Linked DNA regions of Lonchura striata. The protein of the gene in region 2 binds, or shares a complex with, the protein of the main gene of each other region. Links are inferred from orthologs where the notes say so. Each region holds a gene or a part of one and is shown on either strand. Other genes may lie near its edges.

Evidence for each region.
Region 1: the proteins of RANBP9 (region 2) and GID4 are in contact, whole or in part, in a cryo-EM structure (PDB 7NSC), measured with the Homo sapiens proteins. The link is inferred for Lonchura striata from reciprocal best matches to the Homo sapiens genes RANBP9 and GID4. Residues at the interface, in NP_005484.2 of Homo sapiens: Ser223, Lys224, Gly225, Arg226, Asp227, Gly228, Tyr229, Met230, Gly256, Asp257, Thr274, Phe275, Thr276, Thr277; in NP_076957.3 of Homo sapiens: Leu187, Arg189, Asp194, Glu195, Asn216, Asp218.

What each region holds. Positions count from the first base shown.
Region 1 is NC_134618.1:15,650,397-15,657,809, reverse strand, and holds the start of GID4 (glucose-induced degradation protein 4 homolog), read right to left. Parts: upstream 3,046-7,413; 5' UTR 2,952-3,045; coding exon 2,739-2,951; intron 1,643-2,738; coding exon 1,583-1,642; intron 877-1,582; coding exon 769-876; intron 133-768; coding exon 31-132; intron 1-30. Other genes in the region: ATPAF2 (ATP synthase mitochondrial F1 complex assembly factor 2), read left to right, coding at 3,299-3,428, 4,607-4,651, 4,983-5,128, 5,549-5,646, 6,489-6,569, 6,708-6,820.
Region 2 is NC_134603.1:89,018,921-89,026,708, forward strand, and holds the start of RANBP9 (ran-binding protein 9), read right to left. Parts: upstream 3,077-7,788; coding exon 2,614-3,076; intron 1-2,613. UniProt on the Homo sapiens protein: May act as scaffolding protein, and as adapter protein to couple membrane receptors to intracellular signaling pathways. Acts as a mediator of cell spreading and actin cytoskeleton rearrangement.

The DNA.
Region 1 (7,413 bases), on a different chromosome or scaffold from region 2:
TCAGCAGAGAAGGAGACAGGCAGGGTTTACCTTCCATCTCATGAAGACATAGTCCCCATTTTTTAGATCTTCATAATCAAAGTCATCAGAGTTAAATGTTTTTGCATACTGGTAAAAAGCTTGGAACTTTCCCTGAAACAAAACAAACAACAACAAAAAAACAGCTCAGGATGTTTATTCCAGGAATAGAACTTCTAGTACCAGCTGCTGTTTAGGAGGGAAATCTACTGACACTCACAGCAATATCCAGCCTGGCTGAAGAAGCTCCTGTACTTCCAGAGGAGGATATTTTGACAGAAATACAACAAACATCAAAGCTTGGCAAACAACAGCCAAGGTCAAGGGCGGGGGGGTGATCAGGTGGGCTGCTGTGGCCTCACAACACAGCAACAGGTACACCCTGCCCTGAGCAGGGACACAGGTACCAACTACTCTGCCTGTGCTTGTGGGATCCCTTTCCCCTTTTCCATTCCATTTTGTAATAAATCTCCAAAACTAATTACTGTGTTCTCTTAGGGGATCAAGAGACAGGGATTGCTCCTGCTTCCTCCCAACCCCGAGGCAAACAAGTAGAAAACAAAACATCCCTTCCCTCATCACAGATCACAGTTTGCTGAAGAGACCTTTATAAATAAAGATCCCAGGGGAAAAGGAAGGAGACAGCAAAAAGGTCTCCAGGCCTTTCTGCCAGCTCTTGCATGGGCACACACTGCCCCTCTCCCCCAGACCAGCAGCCCAGAGCCACCCTGTGCCCCCAGATTTATTTACCCAGTGTTTACGATCCACGTCTTCGTCGGCATCCCACTTGCGCGTTAGGAACGGGTGTTTCTTACTGATTATCTCGCCCTCGAAGAACGTGGTGAGGGTTGGGTACTCCTGGCAGAGGGGAGACAAAGGTGGGGTCACAATAGTCACCTACAGGCACAAACTCAAGAGCAGACAAAGCTCCATGCACTCAGCAAAAAGCATCTCGCAGGGAGATTGGGCCATCTGAGGCTGCTGCTCCCATCCCTCATCCTGCCCCACACCTCTCCAAGCTGACTCTTCCACGCTCTTATTCCAGCCTTTCTCTGCCTCTCTCTTCATTTTATGAAGCCAGGAGCCACATCAGAGCTGGGCTGCAGGGAAGGATTTGGAACATAAGCAGCTGAGGGGGCTGCGAGGTGGGGGTCATGCTCTGCTCCCAGGGAACAAGGGACAGGACAAGAAGAAATGTCCTTAAATTGCACTAAGGGAGGTTTAGATTGGATATTAAAAACAATTTAAAAGAGTGGTTAAACATTGGAACAGGCTGCCCAGGGAAGTGGTGGACCTGGCTGGGTCCTGGGTCAGTGGTTGGACTCAATGATTTCAGAGGGCTTTTCCAACTGTAAATGATTCCATGGAGCTCCCAGCTGGATGATCACCTGTGGCATTTACAGCCAGCACCACTCCCCAGCTGATCCCCTTTGATCAAATCTACACCATGCTCACACCCTCCGCTTCCTATTTCTGGCAGCAGCTTCTCTCACTCCACCAGGAAAAAAAAAAAAAAAAGCCTTCACAGAGCCCCTTTTTGTGCTGTTTTGCAGTTAACACTCACCTCTGTAAGGCCTTTAATCTTCAAGTATCCACAGAGATAGGAGTTTTCCATATCCACATGCTGGAAAAGAGTGCAAAGTCCAACCATAAAAATAGGCATGAAGGTGCATGCTTGACCCAAAGCAGTTTCTAACCCTTCCAAAGATAATTTCAGCTCCAGCTGGTACCCACTGCCCAATATTCACAGCCCTTTTCCATGATGGGAACCACCTGGAAAGATCATTTGCAGGTGCCCAGCTCACCTCTGGCAGCCTCCACATCCCAGGCCTGCTCCCAAGAACTCTGCAGCAGGAAGCAAATCCCCTTTCCAGCAGGAAGGGATCTGATTCACAGTATTCTCCAAGAAAAAGCATCCCTGGAAGAATCACCCACACCCCCGGCATTTTACAAGCCTTTCTCCTAAATTTAAAGCTTTTATGCCACCTGCATTTTGAGTTATCAGGCTGCATCTCTCTGCCTGTGCTGTGCAGAAATTAGGCAAGGATTTGCCTGCTCCTTTAAAAGCAGGGATTTTCCAAGGGGTTTTTTCTTTTCTCTGAGATCTAGAGTGAGTTATTCAGGGAAGTACAAACCTCCACCCGTGAGAAGATGGATCTTCTCCACCTGTGATCAAAGGACAGCAACGTTTCCCCGTGCTCAGCACAGGGAGAGCAGGCAGCCCCCTTCTCTTCAGCTGACACATGCAAATCAGCCACGTTTTCGACAAAAAAAGCAGCGTTTTTAAACACAAAACCACAACCAGCCCCTGCGAGGTGGCAGCGTGCAGCAGGGCACAAATCCCACCAGAAACGTGGAGAAATGACCATAAAAAGCTTAGAATCATCACAGAACCACTGAGGTCGGAAAAGAGCTGAGCTCATCCCGTGACTGATTCACCAGCACTAAGTGCCACGTCCAGTCTTTCCTCCAACACCTCCAGGGATGGTGATTCCACCACATCATTAAGTAGGATATTCTGATGTTTAGAGTGATATTTTCTGCGACAAATTCCTTCTAATATAGAGGGGTAGGGTGATGCGGGTGCTGTCACAAGGGGCTGGCAGGGTGGGAATGGCCACCGCGACCTGAGGCGAGCCGGGGTTCCCCCGTCTCGCCTCAGGCCGCGGTGGCCATTCCCACCCTGCCAAAACCAGGCTCGCCACGCCGTTCCCCCTCACCTGCATGACGACCTCCACCTCGTAAGCGTTGCCTTTGCTGCGCTGCTGCCCGCGGAACTTGGCCCCGCTGTAAAGAAGCGAAGTGGCCACTCCAGGCTGCGCCGTGTTGATGGGGGGTGGCGGTACTAAGCTGCTGGCGGCCGCTCCGGTAGCAGGGGAGGAGGATGAACCTCCCGCCCCTCCACTGCGGTGCCTCTCGCTCCGAACCGGCATCTCGGGAGGGTCCCCGGGCGCCAGCGTGGCCGGGGCCGGGGTTGCGGCCGGGGGGACGCCGCCCGCTCCGCTCCGCTCCCTCACGCCGCCGCCGCCGCCGGGTCGGGGCCTCCTGGCAGCGCCTCGGCGCGCGTGCCTGAGGGGCGTCCCTTAGCTCTGATTGGCTGCTGGCAACGACGCTCGGGCGTTGATTGGTTGCGGTGCCACCCGGCGCTGCTGGGAAATGTAGTTTCTTTTTAAATGGAGGCGGCGCGGATTGGTTGCGGCCGGCGGCAAGATGGCGGCGCCCAGGGAGCGGCGCTGAGCGCGGTGCGGACGGGGTGGTCGTGGTGGTGTCGTCTGGCGCGATGTGGCGCGGCTGTCGCCGGCTGTGGTGGGCTCGTTCCCAGCCCGCTCGGCTCCCCAGAACTCCTCCTGCAGATGCTGGGAGCGGCCCGGTGGGGTCATGTGGGCGCCGGGCCTATGCCCCGCCGACAGGTGAGGGAGCCGCGTTTGGGGAGGGGGATCCTCCCCCGGGGACCCTCATGCCGGGGTCACCCAGGGCAGGGCGGGGATTAGCACGGCCCCGGTGCTGGAGTTGTCCCCGGCGCCCTTTCCCTGGTGTTAGCCTGTCCTTGGAGCGGGCAGGGTTCGCTGGCAGCACGGCCGAGCCCTCGCTGAACCAGTTTGTTACACTTGTTTTTGTGTTTTGTTGGGTTTTAGGGATTTTGAGGGAATGGGACTCAGACCAGGGGGTTCAGGTATGTTCTGGCTCACGTATCCCATCACGTGGGTTTAAAAACAATAAAATTAATCTCATTTTGTCGGAGGTGAGGCTGCAGCGTCGCGGTGACTCATGACAAAGTTTTGGGAGTCACTGATGAGCCTCGGGGCTCCTCTGGGGTACACACACTTTAATCTGTTTTTAGAACTGTGCCTGAGGCCCCAAAGCTCACAGGTCGCCGAGCCTGAGCAAATCCTTCTATTTCCTCAGTGGGAATGTGCTGGTTTTAGCCTGGAATAGCAGACCCGCGGCCTGGCCTGTTTGCTGTGTCCTTCACCAGACAGGTTTATGGGTTTGGGATTTACAGCCTGCTTGCTGTTGTCAGGGGAATGGCTCGTGGATTCTTCCTGCCTTGTGGGAGGGGTGTGAGCCTTTGGGATGGGTGTAATCCTGCTCTCACGGCGGTAGGAGTGCTGGTAGCAAAGGATGCTGCTCCTAAAATGAGACCTGAAGTTTCCTCAGGCTCATCTTGTTGGTGGAACAGGTATATTCCTGAGCTGGACTGAGATGTTTGGGCTGCAGTGTCCTTTGAGGGTTAATTTATCCAGTGTAACTGTAATTGTAGAATCTGGAAAGGTTGACCCTGAAGCAGAACTGAGGAGAGGTGGGACAGGCCTGCTTGGGAAACCAGCCCTGCCACACTCTGAGGCAGCTGAGCCCCCAGCCTGGCAGGATTGGAGCTGGTTCTCGTTGCTCCTGGTGCCTCCCTGCTGAGGGGAGCTCACTGCAGCTCACAGCTTGGAAACTGTGGAAGAAGGGCTGGATTTTTGTTACCACGTCGACAGCAGCAAAGCTCTGTCTGTTCTGAGCTGTGATGGGGAGCAGGGGAAGGCATTGAACATTCTCTGTTTGCCCTCTGAATGTTCTCTTTGCCTTCTGTTTCTGTCCCTAGAGAGGAAGAGGTTCTACCAGAACGTGAGCATCTCGCAGGGGGAAGGTGAGTATGGCCGATGGGATGGGATGGGGGAGCTGATCCCTAGGAGAGGTGTCATCACCCCACCCCACATCAGCACCTGCAGCCCAAGCTGTGTCAGTGGCAGGTTTGTCACCAGCTGCTGTGCCCCCTCCTCATCTACAGCAAAGCTGCATGGTGGGAACCAGCTTCCAGGACCAAGTGTATCCAAGTGATGGTGGGAAACCTGAGTGTTCCTGGTCTCTTGCTCCTCTCAGCTCTATAACTTTGAATCTGCTCCTCCTGTGGGGTTGTCTGTTGTTCCTTAGTGCCTGCTCCTCTTTGATTCCCCAGGATTTCTACTCTGATTCCCCAGGAGGCTTTGAAATAAACCTGGACCACCGAAAGCTGAAAACGCCCCAGGCCAAACTCTTCACTGTCCCCAGCGAGGCCTTGGCCATTGCAGTGGCAACAGAGTGGGATTCCCAGAAAGACACCATCAAGTTCTACACAATGCACCTGGTGAGCATGGCAGGGTGGAGTGCTGAGACCTCCAAATGCAGAATGTGGAGGCAGCAGGTTGTCCTGCTCCTAATGAGCAGAAAGGACTTTCTCTGGGCTGGCCAGGTGCCTGTCTAGAGGGAATCTGTGTCACTTAGGGGAACTTGAGAAGGGGCTGGACAGTGTTATTTGGAATAGTTAGGGGCAGGAGGAAACTGAGCTCTGGAGCAATCCTTGGCCCCTCTTCCCTGCTGCTTAATAAGCTGCTTCCAGGGATTCTGAAAGATTTGAGAAGACACTTATTACATTAGCCATTTTGTAACCCTGCACCCCTCAGATCATTTGCCACAGATCCCTCTGCTTCTTCTTGGCATTGTACCATGGAAGTTGCTGCTTTTTCAAGCCTGGAATAACAGCAGTTTCAACTGCTTTTATCCCCAGACCACTCTGTGCAACACGGCGCTGGACAATCCCACGCAGCGAAACAAAACGCAGCTGATCCGAGCAGCTGTGAAGTTCCTGGAGACAGACACAGTCTGGTAACGAGATGGGGACCCAGCTGGATTTTGGAAAGAGGGTTGGGTAAAGTGAGGGAAGACATCTGCACTCACCCAGTCATGGCATGGCTCTGTGCTGGTTTTTGCCTGAGGGTTTGAATGTGCAAACCTGGTTGCAGTCTGTGCACCCAAAGAAGGAGAATTGGATTTGGTCCTCTGTTGAACTCCGTTTTGGACACCTCCCTGCTGGGCAAGGGTGAGATCAGTGGGAAATGAAGATCTTGGAGAAAAGAAAACACCTTTGAAAGGCTTGTGGGGCTCTGTCAGCCAGTCCCTGGTATTCCTGTGCCAGTACAGATAGCTGAGACTACTTGTAGCAGTCCCAAAATGCCCTTCATTCCTTAAAGTCCCCATGAGCTGTAGCATCAAGCCTGTTCATGCCCAGGCTCCTCCACTGGCAGCTGCACAGTTCCTGTGGAGAGAGGAACAGGCTTCCCCCACCTGCCCCTGTGGCTTTGGTCAGACTGGGTGAGCAGGGAATGCTGAGCTGAGCCACTGGGCAAGGAGAAGCAGGAGTGGCCCCACAGAGAGTTGCAGTGGGGTTTGTACCCTCTAACTTCAGTCTGGCTTGGGGCTGCCTGCAATTTTCAGTTGGGTGGTTCACCGCTCTGTTTTGTAGTAAGACAGAATTGTCCTTCCTGGAATAACAAAAAAACACTGAATTTAGGGCAGGGTTGGGGGATTATTCCCTGTCACTGCTGCCTGGGTGGACGGCAGGTCCCTGTTCCACTTGCTGTGGGTCTGGTGGGGTCAGTGGCCTTTCCAGAGGTGTGTCCTAGCCTGGGAGTGACCATCCAGTGTGGTTTTGTTCTGTGATGTCCCAGCTATCGTGTGGAGGAGCCTCCAGCCTTGGCAGAACTACAGAAGAATGAATGGGATCCTGTGATCACCTGGGCTGAGAAAAGGTGAGAGCTCAAAAGGTTCCTGACTGCTTTAGGCCCTGCCCTGCTCAGCCCAGGAGCTCAGAAGTCCCAGGGCCACAAGCTCCATGAGCCCTGGGTCTTTCCCCTGGGCTTTACTAAGGGTTTGGGTGATCATTCCAGGTACAATGTGACAATTGGCTCCTCGACCAGCATCCTGGGGCCAAACATTCCAGCCAGCACCAAGGAGACCTTTGTCAGCCATCTGGCATCCTACAACATGTGGGCCCTGCAAGGTGAGCGGGGCTGGGCCAGTGAGGAGTTGGTTCCTCTCCTCAGGGCAGGAGAGTGACTGGAATGTTGTTCTTCTCCTGCTCCAAGTGTGGAGGTTTATGTTTTAAATCTGCAGGCCAGGCCCTGACCTGCTTTTGTCACAGGCAGGGATTCTCTTCAGTGCCACTGGTGTTCAGGATCTGACTGTGCTGTCCCATAAGCTGCTTGCTCCACCTTAGCACAAATAACTTCTTTAATGCCAAACCTTCTAATGATTTAATCCCTAGCTGTTGTTACCAGGAAAAGAAATCAGGCTTAGTACTTCAAAGTGCCCACACTGTGCACTGTCCTCACGTTTTTATCCTTATATCCCACTTAATCTTGCCTGAATCATCTGAATGACACCGAAAGATAAAGAAGTGAAGGGAGGTTTGCTTCGCTCCAGACCTGAATGAGCAGCAGGCAGTGAAACCCACAAAAGACACAGAATTCTCAGGCTTGGGTGGATGTCTCTTCCCTTTGCCCAGGGAAAGGTTATGGCAGAATAAAAGGAGATGGTGTCCAGGGCACGGCCTTTGCCACTGTGGTGGCAGGGCCAGCACAATGTTCTTTCCTG
Region 2 (7,788 bases):
AATATCCCTGCTTGCAATACATCAGCACATTAAAATTATGAAGGTAACTATACTTTTAATGCTTTTGCGCTGATTGTTCCTCTCCACTAATTTTTTCAGTAGCCCAAGCACACCCAAGGTGAAGGCAAAGCACTACTGTTAACACTTTCTGCCTCTAATCAGTCACAGAACAGAAGGAAAGTGCTCCAGAAAAACAGATCTATAGCTAGAAATCTACAGAGGCAGAAGAGAAAATTTAAGCGTACAGGGCACCTATACTACAGTAGTAGAAAATAGTAAGAATTGCTTTAGGTTACTGGCTTTTCCTTGAATATTTTCATCAAGAATACAACAGTTCTTTAGCTCTGGTCAATTCATATTTTCTTTCAAAAAAAACATCCGATGTTCTTCCACTAATACTTAGGTAATTTCAGAAGCACTGAAAGCACCAGAATTACAAAAGAAGATGCAATGAGCACTTTCTTTTGAAAACAAATTTGTAGAAACACTATTTCACAGTCCTAAGCACATTCTTACTTGCCATCTTCCCTTACTCTCTTCACTGAATCTCCTCATTTTCTCCCCTTTTATTGTATTCTTAGGGCTGAAGGATCCAGGAGGGAGAAAAGGCAGGAGATGTTTAGCATGTTTGCCCCCTGGTTCTCAGGTAGAAATACTCAGATACCATTCACTTCTTAGCCCAGTTAGCAGTTCCAAGCGCCAAGCTGGTAACATAAACATGGAGTTGCCCTAACAGCCACCTTCATTAAATTATCCAGTAGAAAAGATGGGCCACTTAAGAAGTCATTTACTTCCATATGCACTTAGGAAAAAGAAAAGTACAGACATGCTATATTGGCACCTCCTTTTCAGAGTCCTTTCAGCTAACCTAGGAAACTCTTCAAACTTCAGCACTTACTATAACTTAAGAGCTAGAGTAAAGGTACTTCATTGTTACAACCTACTAACTGTGTTTCATGACTTCCGTAACTTCTTTGAGGTAATGATTTCCCTTAACACCATGGCAAAGGAGTTAAGTGAGGAAAAACAGGGACAGCACAAGGAAAGCTTGAAAATATACTTCTGAAATAACACAGAGATCAGAGAGGTTTGACCTCTAAATTCTAGCTGATGAGAAAAAAAATTGACCAAAGCAAAACAAACCAGCAGAAGTTGATAGCCACTAAGCTATGATCATCTTAGAAGAAAAAAACACCAAAACCAAACAACCCACTGCCACTAAGCACCAGAAAATACAAAATGTTTCTAAAAATACAAGGTCATAAAACACTGAACAAAAGCCAGGAAATTCAGAGTATTAAATTACACATCCTTAAATCACTCGGTGCCTCCTAGAAACCTGCTTTGTAGTCATCCAGCTCCTTTATTACCTTTGTACGGTGCATTAAACTTAGCATTTTTAACAGAGTATTTTGCGTGTAATAATAAAACCTCTCTATTAAAAAAAAGTCTGAGAGTACATTTAATCCTTTCATGGCAGCCAAATCCTGCCATGTGTTTGTGTTGCCGTTTTCCTCCTCCGATTAAACAGTAACATATTTATCAAGATTTCCCTTGAATTTCTCCACTGCAAACTCTGAGAAAGAGTAATTGCATGGCTGTTTTTTTCCCCTCCCACTACGTTCATTTGACTACAGACTGACAAAAGATCCAGTTCTTCACAGCCAACTCAAAAGTGGCTTTGAATCCACAACACTTCTACTTCAGGACTTTAGGCCTAGAACACCAGATGTGACTGTGTTTTTTCAGGTCAGAGTGTAGGCTTATGTTTCCAGGTTTTATGACATTTCATAACAATCAACACAAGTTTTTCTTCTAATGATTCTCGCTGATGTTATTTTTTAATACAAAAGCATACTGGTTTTTACATTTTATTTGAAAATTTGTAACTTTAACTGTGAAACGTCTAGGAAGAAAGTTTCAGTCACCTTCATTAATATAAGTCCTATTGTCGTTCCTTCCCTCAGATCACTCTGTGCAATAGTTAGGCAAGACTATTACCAGTGACTTTAAAGTAATTTTTTTTTTACAGATTAAAAATAAACCGTGTTTTTCTCAGTGCTTTCCCCTCCCGTCATTTCCGTGTTCAATAGCTTAACGTTTGCTGCTCTTAACTGCATTTAACCCTTGCTCTTCTCGAGAGGTGAAAAAAAAAAGCAGCTACTTCTTTTTCTCGCTCATTACCATAAACAGGACACGTCATGCCGAGCGTCCTTTATTCTCCTGCCTCCGACCCAAACGTTCCGGCGATACCTGAATCCACGGAGGAAGTCTCGGAGTTTACATAATGCCCACTCCAGAAGCACAAGGAGGCGGGGGCGGCCCCTTGTGTCCCCCCCTTTCCCCGCACGGCGACAGAAAGAAGGGGGGGGGGGCGGGGGGGAGGGGAAAAGAGAGAAAAATAAACCTGAAATAAGGGAAAACAAGCCCCTTATCTCCACGCTGCGGGGGGGAATTTAGGCGATCGGAAAACAGGGAAGAAGGAGGGAGAGGAGCGTGTGTTATTTCCTGTTATTGTTACTCCTGTGGCCACCGCTCGACGGAGGGGTCGGGCAGCCCCCGGCCCCGGGGGGGACAGGGGGTGTCGCGGCGGCCCGGGCCGCCCCTCCTCACCTTTGTAGTGCACCCGCAGGTTGTTCTGCGAGAGGCCGATGTAACTGAATTTGTCCTTCGGGCTCCAGGAGCGGGGCAGCGGCGTCTCCTGCTCGTCCACGGCCGGGTACAGCCTCTTCAGCCGCCGCTTCAGCTCCTTCTCCTGCTCGTTCAGGGCCGGGTCTCCGTGCGGGAAGGGCGCCGGGGCGCCGGTGCCGCTCCCCGCCGGCAGGCCCAGCGCGGCGCCGGCCCCGCCGCCCCCCGCGGCCGCGGGCCCGCCGCTGCCGGCCGTGGCGGCGGCGGGCGGCGGCGGCGCCGCGGTGGCCGGAGGCGGCGGCGGCGGGTGGAGCAGGAGCGCGGCGGCCGGAGCGGGGCCGGGGCTTGCGGCGGCGGAGGGGATCCCCGGCGCCGGCGGGGGAACGGCGGCCGCCAAGGAAAGCTGCGGCGACGACGGCTGTTGTTGCTGCTGCTGTTGCCCGGACATCCCGGCTCCGGCCTCCTCCTCCTGCTCCTCCACCGCCACCTCCCGCGGCGGTCGCGACTGTCACCGGACGGGCCCGGGGGCGGAGCGACGGGCAGGCCCGGGGCCGTGCGGAGCGCGGGTCACCCCCACAACCGGAGCGTCTCAGAAGAACACGGGGGCGCGGGGTGGGGGAGGATTGGCGGTGACGGCGGCCGGCGGAGGCGCCCGATGGGAGCGAGGGGCGTCGCGGGGCGCGGCGGGGCCGGGGGCGAGGCGGGCGGAGCGGCGGCGGCGGCGCCGGGCGGAAGCGGGAGGCGGGCGGGGAGCGGGCGCCGCGGCGGCGGGGCTGGCTCGGCCCCCGGCCCCTCCTCCGGTCGGGGGCGCGCCCGGCGCGCACACGCTCCGTCCGGCCGCCAGCGCGCTCCCGCCGCCGCGCGCCCCCGCGTCTGCTGAGCCGCGGCCCCGCCCCGCGCCCTCCGCTCGCTCGCGGCGGGGCGGGGCCTCCGCCCCTCGGCGGGCGCGAGGCGCGGAGGGCGGGGCGGGAGAGCGACGGGGCGATGGCCGGGGGTGGGACTGCGGGCACCGACCGGGGGCACGGCCGGGCCCCTTGGGTCTGCTGCTGCAGGCACCCGCGCGTCCGGAGCTGTTGGGGGCTCCCTGGCGTGACCCGGACCCGTGGCGAGCTTTGCTCTCGCCACGGGTCCGGGAAGGTGGAAGTCTGAGCGACCCCCCGAGGGTAGTGGGAAAAGGGACACTGACCCTCAGGGGATTACTGGTGTTGCTGCCGAAGGCCAGCCCAGTGGTGCCTGTCCCCTAGTTATGAAATGATCATGGAATCAGAATATACCACTGGAGAGCTTTGTCCAAATGTGTCCTGAACTCTGCTAGGCTTGGTGCTGTGACCTCATCCGTGGGGAGCCTGTTCCAGGGCTCAACCTCCCTCTGGGTGAAGAATGTTTTCCTGATCTCTACCCTAAACCTCCCCTGACACAGCTTCACGCTGTTTCCTCGAGTCCTGTCACTGGCATTACAGTCGTGAGACTGTAATGATAATTCTCCTCTCGGTGTTGACCTGGGCACATCAGACCTGTTGAAAAGATTTCTGGTGTAACGCGGACGTGTTGAAAGGTTTTCTCTGGGACAAAGTCAAGCTGACGCTCAGAGGGGTAATGGGGAGAGAGGCATTAACCCTCAGTGCATTAATGACCGATGCAAAAGGATTGAGTAACTGGAGTGAGTCCAACGGGGATTGTCCCCTCCTGGTGAAATTATACAGTTATGCTGCCTTCTGTTGTGGGTCATGACATTGAGCTGGAGAAGAAGGAGAAGGAGGCATTGCTCTGCCTCCATTGGGGTTGACTAGGGATGGCGGCTGGGGAACAGCTGGAGACAGGCCGGTGTGTGCCGCCGGGGAGGCTGCGTCTCCTGACAGGCACAACGCGGGTCTGCTGCCCACACCTTGTGTTCAGCACTACAGTTGGTATGGGGAAACGCCACTAAGAGCATTTCCCAGAGGTGAGAAAGTTTGGGAATGCCTCAGCTCAGGGGGACAGGAGGAGCAGCGCAGTGTTTCTAGGGGGTTTTGTTTGGGGCCTGTTTCCCTTTGGTTTGTATGTTGCTGGATGGTTTTGTTTGTGCTTAGTGTTGTTGGTTATTCAGTGGTTGCCCACACTAATATATTCACATGGCAGCAGTGAGAGAGAAGTGGTTTACAGATTGGCAAGCTTACCTTGGAAAACATTAGAAAAGGAAAGTAATGTCACTGGCAAGTCTAGAACCTGTGTCCAGTTCTGGGCTCCTCAGTAGAAGCAAAACAAGGATCTTCTGGAGAGGGTTCAGCAGAGACCACAAAGATGATGAGGGGTGTGGAACAACATCTCTCTTATGAAGAGAAGCTGAGGGAGCTGGGCCTGTTTAGCCTGGAGAATAGAAGACTGAGAAGGCATCTCATTAATGCATATAAATATCTCAAAGGTGGGTGTCAAGAACATGGTGCCAGATTCTTTTCAATGGTGCACAGCAACAGGATGAGGAGCAGTGGCTGTAAATTAAAACAGAAGTTTCACCTGAACATGAGGAAGAAGTTTAAACTGAGGATGGCAGAGCACTGAACAGACTGCCTGGGGAAGCTGTGGAGTCTCCCTCTCTGGAGACATTCCAAACACACCTGGATGTGTTCCTGTGTCACCTGCTCTAGGTGACCCTGCCTTGGCAACAAAGTTGGACCGGATGATCTCTTCCAACCCTAACAATTTTGTGATTCTATGAACCTGAAATATTGATCACTTCACAAACCCTTTTCCAGTTGCCAGCATATTGGAGTATAGGCACAGAAGCAGGAAACAGAGGAGGTTAATTATGCTTCATCTGTGTGAAATGGCATGTGAGGTAATGGAGGTGTGACACTAACAAAGGCTTGTATGAAGCTAAACATTTCTCACCTATAGTTACCAAAATATCCTGTCACATGCAACTGCTTGGTGATGTCTAATAGCATTTATGGCTGGACAAAATGCAGTTATCTAAAAATACCCTATCAGGAGGAGCTGCAAACTGTACAAGTGTAGAAGTGCCTAGGATAGATGTTGAAACATAAGCTGGACCATGCCCGAGGGTCAGTTACCCTGGCACTGTAGGCTCCCACTATATATAAATTTGCTTTCTAATATCTAGATGTTGTTGTAAACCATGAAGCTTGGTTGTTTACATTTTCATTAAAAATGTAAGTATTTGGCCAACTATAGACATTGGGAGATACATTTGTTATGTTCATAAGTGTAGATGTGTCTTAAGTCTTTTGTGATTATCAATAAAATTTCTGCCATATCGATTTCCTCAGTGTGTCTCACTTCTAGCATTTGTGCCAAAATGCTTCATGTCACCATTTGAGATTGCCACCATGAGGTTTCTGTTTCTTGAACAGTAAGACAGGAGAAAGATGTTTCTGCACTTACTTCTTGACATTATTTGCTACTTTGCTACTCTGGTTGCTCTTATCACATCTTTTGCCATCTTCCAAGGATAAATAATCCAAGTGTAGCAGAACACTGTTTTTTATAAAAGTTTGTTCTCCAAACTATGCCCATAGACAAACACATTCACATCACTTTTTCTGACTGCACACTATGCCAGAGGTTTTATAGAGAATTCTAATAATTGGCATTAACCAGTATGTTATTTATTCCTCCTGTGTTCTGCTAACTTTTCTGACTACAACTTTGTGAGGATTAGAAATAGCAGATAGATATTTACATAATGCCCAGTTTACTTTCCAGTTTAGTATAAATGAATGGAAGCTTGTCAGATTTCGAAGTGGAACTCACGTCCCTCCCTAATGTGCGTTGTTTTGCATTTTCAGTATTGAATTTAATTTGCCATTACATGGTGCATTCTGTTTCGTTAGCACTTCCTCATCATCACAGTCCCCTCTTGTCTTGCTTAGCTGAAATAATTATGACAGCTGCAAATGTTGCCATCTCACAATACAGCCCTCTTTCTAGATCAGTGGTAAATACAGCAGCAATATGAGACATGCCGCAGAGCCCCGAAGCTGGCTGGCATTAACCTTCCACCATCATAGAAACTTGCAGTTCAATTCTGCTCTTTGTTTGCCATCTCCAGTTTTTGAACCATGATTGTACTTTTCTTTTTGCCCAGTGATTATTTAGCTGCTTGAGTCCTCTTGCTTAGAGATTTAATCAAAGGCCTTTTGAAACACTGTAAAACATTGACTAGTCCACCAAAATCGCTTTGTTTTTTGGGGGTAGTTTCTTTTTTTGATGCTTTCAAAGAATTTCAGTAGATGGATCAGCTAAAGATTATTTAGCTTTGCAGAAAGCCATGCCCCCGTTTTCTTAGGCCTAATTTTGACATTCAAATGCAAACATTCTCTTCTATATGCTTGGTTTCCATTTATGTTTACTTTAAGGGACCAAAGAAAATTTCTACCAAAGAAAATGCGATCCAAGCATTCCAGGCACTGAGGGTATTTGTTTGGCCTCTCGTTGAGCCTATCAGCAGGGAGTCAACGTGTGGAACATGTGTTTTAAAGTGAGTGCAGGTGATCAGTCCCTCAGTCCAGGAGTCATATCCTCCAGATAGATGTGCTTCGTGGGCATCAGCTGTCAGTACACCCATTGCTCTCCTCAGGGAATCCAGAGCCAGAGGAGAGGGAAGAGCAACTCTGGCTGACACCCTTCAGGCAGCACCAGTAAGAATAAAACTGTCCTGATGGCACAAACACATATTCTCACAACAGAGCTTTGTGCACAGCCTGATGTTGCAGAGGTTAATTTAGCTCCTGGATCCTGTGTTAGCTGCTCTCTGTGTTTTCATTAAGAGTGAGTAAGTGGGCTACGGCCATCTGTGCCAGTGATGCCGATAGCATTCTGGCTGTCATCAAGAAACAGAGGCAGGATTCTCCTTGGGAGTCTATTTCTGTATGTGTCCTTTGTCCCTGCAGTAGGACCAAGCCTCCTAGCTGCACATGAATTTAGTACTTGTGCTGTGGCTGCCAGCCTGACACATTTCCAGCCACTTCTCTGAAATTTAATATCTCCTGTTTGTAGTGATGGTAACTTGTTTGCTGTTCTTTGTTTAGTATTCCTCCCAGTTAAGATTTTCCACTGCATAGTTTCTTTGTAACTGTTTTGGAATTAATATTCCTTCTAGAAGCTGCTTGGAAATCAGCAGTGTGCTATTTATTATTGTGCCTACTGAGCTGATTTACTGGT